2 linked regions of the Bombyx mori genome follow. The protein of the gene in region 1 interacts with the protein of each later gene in a pairwise test. Links are inferred from orthologs where the notes say so. Each region holds a gene or a part of one and is shown on either strand. Other genes may lie near its edges. The genes, in order: serine/threonine-protein kinase pelle and Dorsal.

Evidence for each region.
Region 2: the proteins of serine/threonine-protein kinase pelle (region 1) and Dorsal interact in a two-hybrid assay, tested with the Drosophila melanogaster proteins (2 studies listed by BioGRID). The link is inferred for Bombyx mori from reciprocal best matches to the Drosophila melanogaster genes pll and dl.

Annotation. Positions count from the first base shown.
Region 1 is NC_085132.1:11,582,464-11,586,293, forward strand, and holds part of serine/threonine-protein kinase pelle, read left to right. Parts: intron 1-1,772; coding exon 1,773-1,926; intron 1,927-1,999; coding exon 2,000-2,137; intron 2,138-2,198; coding exon 2,199-2,325; intron 2,326-2,390; coding exon 2,391-2,555; intron 2,556-3,345; coding exon 3,346-3,688; 3' UTR 3,689-3,830. UniProt on the Drosophila melanogaster protein: Plays an essential role in the Tl receptor signaling pathway that establishes embryonic dorsoventral polarity; the signal directs import of dl into ventral and ventrolateral nuclei, thereby establishing dorsoventral polarity.
Region 2 is NC_085118.1:1,073,370-1,077,199, forward strand, and holds part of Dorsal (embryonic polarity protein dorsal), read left to right. Parts: intron 1-2,363; coding exon 2,364-2,516; intron 2,517-3,593; coding exon 3,594-3,778; intron 3,779-3,830. UniProt on the Drosophila melanogaster protein: Embryonic developmental transcription factor. The lateral or ventral identity of a cell depends upon the concentration of this protein in its nucleus during the blastoderm stage.

The sequences.
Region 1 (3,830 bases):
AATGTCTCAAATTAATCATCTTCATTTCATTTCATCATTTTTCATAAAAATAAGAAAATAAATGAAAATAAGACATGACTTAAAGGTCTTAGTTACCAGAACATAAAATCCCTTAAAAAAAAATCAAAGCTGTCATTAAAAATACAATTGATTTTAATCGATTTGAAATCGATAATCATATTACTTTGTTAAGTAATAATAGACTTTTTCTTTATTTATGTATATAATCGCAATTAAATTCGCCGTATACCGCACTTGTATACAACAAGTATAAATCGCTCATTTAATTAATTTGCATTCATTACTTAATGTAATGTTTTTCTTTTTATAATCCTGTAATCGATTAATTAAATAGATCACACCGCTAAACCGAGAAAAACCAATTTTCTCATTTTTCTCCGGTCCCAGTAAAAGGATTGAGGTGATTTTTTATATTCTTACTAGCTGACCCGGCAAACATTGTTTTGCCATACTATATAAGATTTCTAGGGAATTTCTAGTGTAGAAAAAAAAACTAACTTATTGTAAGTGTATAAGGATGTGGTAAATGAGTGAAAGAGGTATGTAGTGCTGTGAACGATGAGGGAATATATAATAAAAATAACAAAACCTCATTCAACCACATAATACCTCATTATAACAAAAAAAAAATTGTCCAAATAAAAAAAAATATGTTAGGGGTGGACAACCCTAATCACTTAGGGGTATGAAAAATAGATAGTAGCCGATTCTCAGGCTTACTGAATATGCATAAAGAATTTCATGAGAATCGGTCAAGCGGTTTCGGAGGAGTATGGGAACGAACATTGTGACACGAGAATTTTATATATTAGATACAAAAAAATATGACAATTTTTTTAGACTACATTTCAAGTTATTACATTTTTGGCCCACGATTTTCCGTCTCCAAATTTATTGTATTCTTATTGCACTTGAAACACACACATCTCGTCTTTGTATATAGTGCGCGCGGAAGCGCTAGTCACCTCCTGAGGTATGTGGCGGGGTAAGACGGGGGAGGGCGTGATTGACAAGACGCACACGATATTATATTTAAGTGCAGATAAATCTCAGAATAACATGTTAGAATTAATGTAATGGGTACCTAATTGTAATATTGTATTTTTCTATTTCTTGGTTAAACAAAAAATTCATATTCAAAAGTGTTTATTAAATTTTATAATTTACGATACAAAACAATTTTATAAGCAAATTAACATTTGTTAATAAGAAAATAATAAAAAAAAACGCTATCACTGTTATAGTACATTATAAAAAAAATTAATTATTTATCTGTTTTTATTTTTTATCAACAATCTTTTTTATTTCATTAGGATTTCGTGGAGAAGTAAATTTTGGTTTTTCCGATTCGAAATTCCTTCAGCTACAATTCTCATTACGGTCTGAGAAAAAAAACTGCACATTGTAAATTACATTTTACCCATCTTAGGATATTTTATCTCGTGTATGTTTGGAGCAAACTGAACAACTGAATTGTGTAACCGGCGCGGTGGTCGAGTCGACGGGCGGCAGACTGAGTTAGCTTGACGTTTGTCTACCTCCCCCGCCCTGCCGCTCACATACCTCAGGCGGGGCTAGCGCTTCCACGCACACTATAATATAATGACTCTCACTCACACGAACACACACACACACGCGCACACACATATGCACACACATCCATACACACACCGGGCATTTAGATTTAGTACAATCGTGAGTCACATGTCGTCAGTGACGCAAGGAATAATGGTCTCGTTGTGTGACGCCAGGACACCTCGTCCGCGCAGTACGACAAGTACGATGAGATCCTGCGCAAGGTGTCCGCCATCCCGAAGATGAGCTACGAGGAGCTGCGGCTCGCCACGGACGACTGGAGCGAGCGCAACCTGCTCGGCCGCGGCGGCTTCGGACAGGTCTACAAGGGTACGTGCCGCGCCCCCCGCCCCCGCCGCCGCCCCCCCACCCCTGACGCTCATGACCCTCGGCGTGCCCGCAGGGGAGTGGAAGCTGCTGGGCGTGGCGGTGAAGAGGCTGCGCGACAATGAGGGCCGCGACCAAGAGCTCGTGCGGGAGATGTGCCTCAACCAGTACCGCCACGACAACATCCTGCCCCTCTACGGATACAGCCTGGGAGGTAGGTGAGCGCGCGCCGCCGCGCGGGGCCGCCAACGAGCTGACGAGTGTGCCGTGCGCAGGGCCCGAGGCGTGCCTGGTGTACCAGCTGATGGCGGGCGGCTCGCTGGAGCAGCGGCTGCGGCCCAAGGACGGCGCCGCGCCGCTCTCCTGGGCGCAGCGCTGCAGGATCATGTGCGGGGTGGCCAGGTATGAGCGGACATATCATCTGATCGAGAGATGGGAGCGCCTTCTGAGTGACAGACTGTTCGCAGAGGGCTGCAGTTCCTGCACACGATGACCGGCAGCGCGCTCATCCACGGGGACATCAAGCCGGCTAACATCTTGCTGGACCAGTGCCTCGAGCCCAAGATCGGAGACTTCGGCCTCGCGCGGAAGGGGCCCTACGGAGACGAACGGACGCATCTGAAGGTCTCACGGTCAGTGCTTGCAGCCTCACTCCGCGTTCATGACTTGTTTAATCTTAACTGTCACTAACTTAGCACTCGGGGGCGTGACGCATGCGCATCGTGATTAGAGATTAACCGATATCCGGTAAAGAAGGAATTGGTATTTGTTTTTCTTGATCGCGAAAATCACTACTATTATCCTTTGCCACTTCATTGAAACAGTCCCAGAAAGTGTCATGAGCTTCACGTGTGAAGTTAGATCCAGTTTCATCTTCTTTCATTCAAAACCACAACGACACGCATGAACAAAAACAAACTGACACGCGCGAACACTTGAACGCCCCCGAGTCGTCGCGATCTCCGCTCACGTGCGACAACACCCGAACTCGCACGAATATTTCCGAAAGGGCCGAATATCCGGCACTGCGGCCTCGCAGCTTGCCGAATATTCGGTATTCGGTATCCGGCCAAACCACTATCCGTTTCATCTCTTATCGTGATCGCTTGCACTGCGACGCGCGTTGCGCCGCCCCCGCCCCCGCGCCCGCGCGTCCCCCGCGGCTGCGCACACGGGGGATGGGGGGGGGGTATACCTACTTGACGGTCATTGTTGATGCTCAATGTATTCTTTCTTTCTAATTTTTAAAAAATCTCAGTCGCTTATTAATATGCCGTCCAGATACAATGCAGTACACGCAAAGATATCTTACTGCAACTTTTTATTAATAAAATTCAAAAAAATATTTAGCCTTCTGCATAATGACGATCGCCCCATCATTGTGACATGCCGTTGTTGACCCGATGTAACCGCATCGTGTAGAGTGTACGGGACGAGGCCCTACTTGCCGGACGAGTACCTGCAGTCGTGCGTGCTGTCGCCGGCCGTCGACGTGTACAGCTTCGGCGTGGTGGTGGCCGAGACCAGCACGGGGCTGCCGGCCTGGGACCGCTCCCGCGCGCGGCCCCTGCTGGCGCACCAGCTGCACTCGTGGCACGCCGCGCGGCACGACCTGGGCGCGCTGCACGACCCGCGCCTGCCGCCGCACCCCGCGCTGTGCCGCGCGCTGCTGGAGCTGGCGCTGCACTGCACGCAGCCGCCGCGCGAGGCGCGCCCGCCCATGCTGCTCGTGTACCGCCGCCTGCACGCGCTCGCCGCCTGCTAGCCGCACCGGCTGCACGAGCCGCGCCCGCGCCGCACCCCGCGCTGTGCCGCGCGCTGCTGGAGCTGGCGCTGCACTGCACGCAGCCGCCGCGCGAGGCGCGCCCGCCCATGCTGCTCGTGTACTTTACTGTTTCATCTTTACA
Region 2 (3,830 bases), on another chromosome or scaffold:
CGTGTGGACAAAACGATCAACGATCCAAACGACCCGTCCATTTCATCTGTTAGAGATAACTATTTTAACACCTTTCTATTCTTCGGTGTATATGTCTCAAGATGAGAGTCAGCTATCGTGGTTCTGGTGACCGTTTAACACTAAACGGGGCGGGCAATCAAATAAAATAAAACCCAATTTTTTCAACGAACACCCATTCACGACATAGTAGCAGCCCACTGAGTTTCTCGCCGGATCTTCTCAGTGGGTCGCGTTTCCGATCCGGTGGTAGATTCTGCGAAGCACTGCTCTTGCTAGGGTTCGTGTTAGCAACAACGTCAGGTTCTAGCCCCGTGAGCTCACCTACTAGTTAAGGTTACGCTGAAATAGCCTCTCAAGGCTAGCAACTTGGTAGGAAAAAAAAATGCATAGCAGCCGATTTCGCTCGAACCGCAAGCCCGCTGCCAGCGTAAGCTAATAAAATTTTAAGTTGATATAAACAATGTTTCGAACTCAGTATGTATGTGGCTTTCTAATTATAAACGTGCTCTCATTACGCGGCCTGTGTGCATGACCTGTTAATATCTTCGCGTTTGCATTGTATTGGTTTTAATACGAGTATTCTTTGTTACCGGGCGAGATATATTGAATTACGGTTTAATCGTTTTATACCTTGAAACATGAGTTCTAAGTCTCAGTTTTCATGTTCAACGGCTACCCCATCCTTCGAACCGAAAGGCATTGCTGTTTCACTGCAGAAATAGGCAGGGTAGTGCCTATGTCGCAGGCAATTTGTATGATTCCGCCGTTTACAAACGGCGTCGTCATTATAAAAACGCTCGCCGTTATGTAAAATGCCGAAGGCAAAATGATAACTCGTTCAATAGTTATAATTTCGACATTGGTTGTAGTTTTAGGGTGACCACAATAAAATGCAGCTTATAATAATCAGACTTTATTTCTGTAATCAAGTACTAATGAAGATTTCAAGTAAGACTAAATTATGTGCTTTGATTCTCTTAAAGTACTTAATTAAAATATTTAAGTAACAAAACAACATTTAAATTACACACTTTATATTATGATACTCATGACAATAATAAAACTTCTAAGGATAATATGACACTTTCAAATAAAACAAACAGGTCGTAAGTAAAATCATATTTTGAAGTTTGAAGTATTCATGGTCTTGACTCTGCTCATTAAAATCTCGAGATATAATCGGTTTAACTACGATACCTTTATTTGGTATGTTACGTTTGGATTCACAAACAGGACATAACGATACGAATAAATCAATCGCTTTTCTCACACTAATAAATCTATCCTTCGTTTGATACTGAATTTTGTCTCGATCACCATGTCCGCAACCTCTATGAATCTCTAACAATACATCGGAATATTCGTTCAACGGTATTACACGAACGGTTGGACTACCAGGGCTATCCTTTTTAAAATAAAGTAGTCCAATTCACTGATGCTCAGGACCTCGTATTGTCTTGACCAGTAGTAATCTGCAGGAGTCCTCCGCGAACTAGATTCTGTGGCCACCTTAGCATTTTTTAGGTGCCGAATAACCTCAAAAATCTTACTATTTGTCCAAGGCTTTTTTACAGCTTCCATTTGAGAATTGTATTTTTTTTTTAATTCACTATAATATATGCCTTTAAAATCAGAATCTTTCCTAAAATGTCTTCTCCACACGATATATTTGCACTGTTTTCAGTTATTTTTTGACGCGGTTGTTATTATTTTGATCAACAGTGGCGCGCGTGGTAAAAAATTGAACTAAGCATTTCAATTCGCCGCGGCATTATGAAAACAGCGTTTGAATTGTCGATGCTATGTTGTGGCATATTATAAAGTGACACGGCAGTTTACATTTTGCCTTCGGCATTTTACATAACGGCGAGCGTTTTTATAATGACGACGCCGTTTGTAAACGGCGGAATCATACAAATTGCCTGCGACACCGACACCTATACGCTATCGCTACCCGTGCGAGATCACAAAACGCCCTGCCACCAGTAAAAGAAGAGTAACTGTGAAAAAATACGTATGCACTAAACTATGTACTGTTTCCTTTACCTAGATAATTACAAGGTTTTAGACGTACAGCTCGTACCAAAACCGCATCAGTGGTTTTAGTGTGACGCTCATACGAACGAATTAAAAAAAAAAAATTTTTGTAGTGCACGCTATCAATATTTTTTCTAAAGGTTTTACGGACCTTATGACATGAAACCGAAATTTCGACTACAAAACAGCTAAACCACCGCACGCGATTATCTGGAATGAGTTACTGCTTCGCCGCAGAAGTCGGCAGGACGGCGTTATCTAAATCGCAAAGAAAACTATGCGAACCTCACATATGTTTGTTGCAGATTCCGGTATAAATGCGAGGGCCGGTCGGCGGGCTCGCTCCCGGGCGTGTCCAGTACTCCGGAGAACAAAACTTATCCTACAATCAAGATATGCTCTTACAAGGGACCGGCCACCATAGTCGTGTCCTGCGTCAACAAGGATCCCCCGTTTAAGTAAGTGTCGTCTTTTTTTTTCTAAAATATTGTTACGCGCTGGTGTTCTATAAATAAAATTTCACCAAACTACAACAAAAAAACTGTATTAAAGACTTGGAACACTTAAACACTTCACAAACACTTTAAAACACTCAATTCGCTTGTTCCGCTTCGCTTCAGGTGATCCGTTCGCTGTTTCGCTTCGAGTAGTTCCGTTTACTGACTGACTGCGTGCGGGTTTACTTTGCTTATTTTTGGTGACATGTGGGGTGATTATGTCGCAGTGGTTATTTATTTTTTTACACATATTGACAACCTACACATTGTCTATGCTTGAAAACGAAACGCATTTTCGGGGATTCCCATGAATAATAATACGTTTACGTACTCGCTTGGAACAGAGTAGGGGAATTATTGCGCGCATATAAGTGAATATGATGTGCGTTAAAGTACTCTATCCTATAAGCCTATTTTCTTATTTTTAGAATTATAATTGCTGCTCATTAATCATTAAAAAAATTAGAATACGTTAGTAGAAAAATTCATATACTAATGTTCACGTTAGCATTTGGGGTCAGAGCTTTGTTTACTTATGCTGACAAGGGGAAAGGGGGGGTGAATGATTGTAATAAATTTGCTTACGTAATACTGGAACAAGGTCTTCTTCCAATGAATTCCGATCATACACAAATGAATTTTCAATAATAACACAATTTGGTTCGCGGTGTTGCAATATGTCGATTTCGAATTGTTCGAGATGATACCGTCATCTCGTTTTTACCATCCCACCGCCCGCCATCGGAATAGAGTTCATCCACAGTACGTTTCCAGAGGTCTTTTTTGCCGCGTACCATCCGGCTATGGAATGAGCCCCTCCACGGTGTTTCCCGAGCGCTATGACATGTTCTTCTTCAAACGAGTTAAGCGGTAGGCAGCGGCTTGGGTCTGCCCCTGGCAATGCTGAAGTCCATGGGCGACGGTATCCACTCACCATCAGGTGGACCGTGTGCTCGTCTGCCTACAAGGGCATTATTCCCTGGGCGTTGTCCTGCGGAGTTGTATGTATGTACCTGTTACGTGTGTGGTGACGCGCAGACCGCACCCGCACAACCTGGTGGGGCGGGAGCGCTGCGACCGCGGCGTGTGCTCGGTGCGCACCGACGTCACGGAGGACAACAACGAGTACCAGTTCAGGAACCTTGGGATACAATGCGTCAAGCGCAAGGACATCGTCGCCGAGCTGCGCCTCCGGGAGGAGCTCAGGGTGGACCCCTTCAGGAGTGAGTTCTATTAGAATCCAATTTTTTTATTCTAGGAATAATCACACGTTCA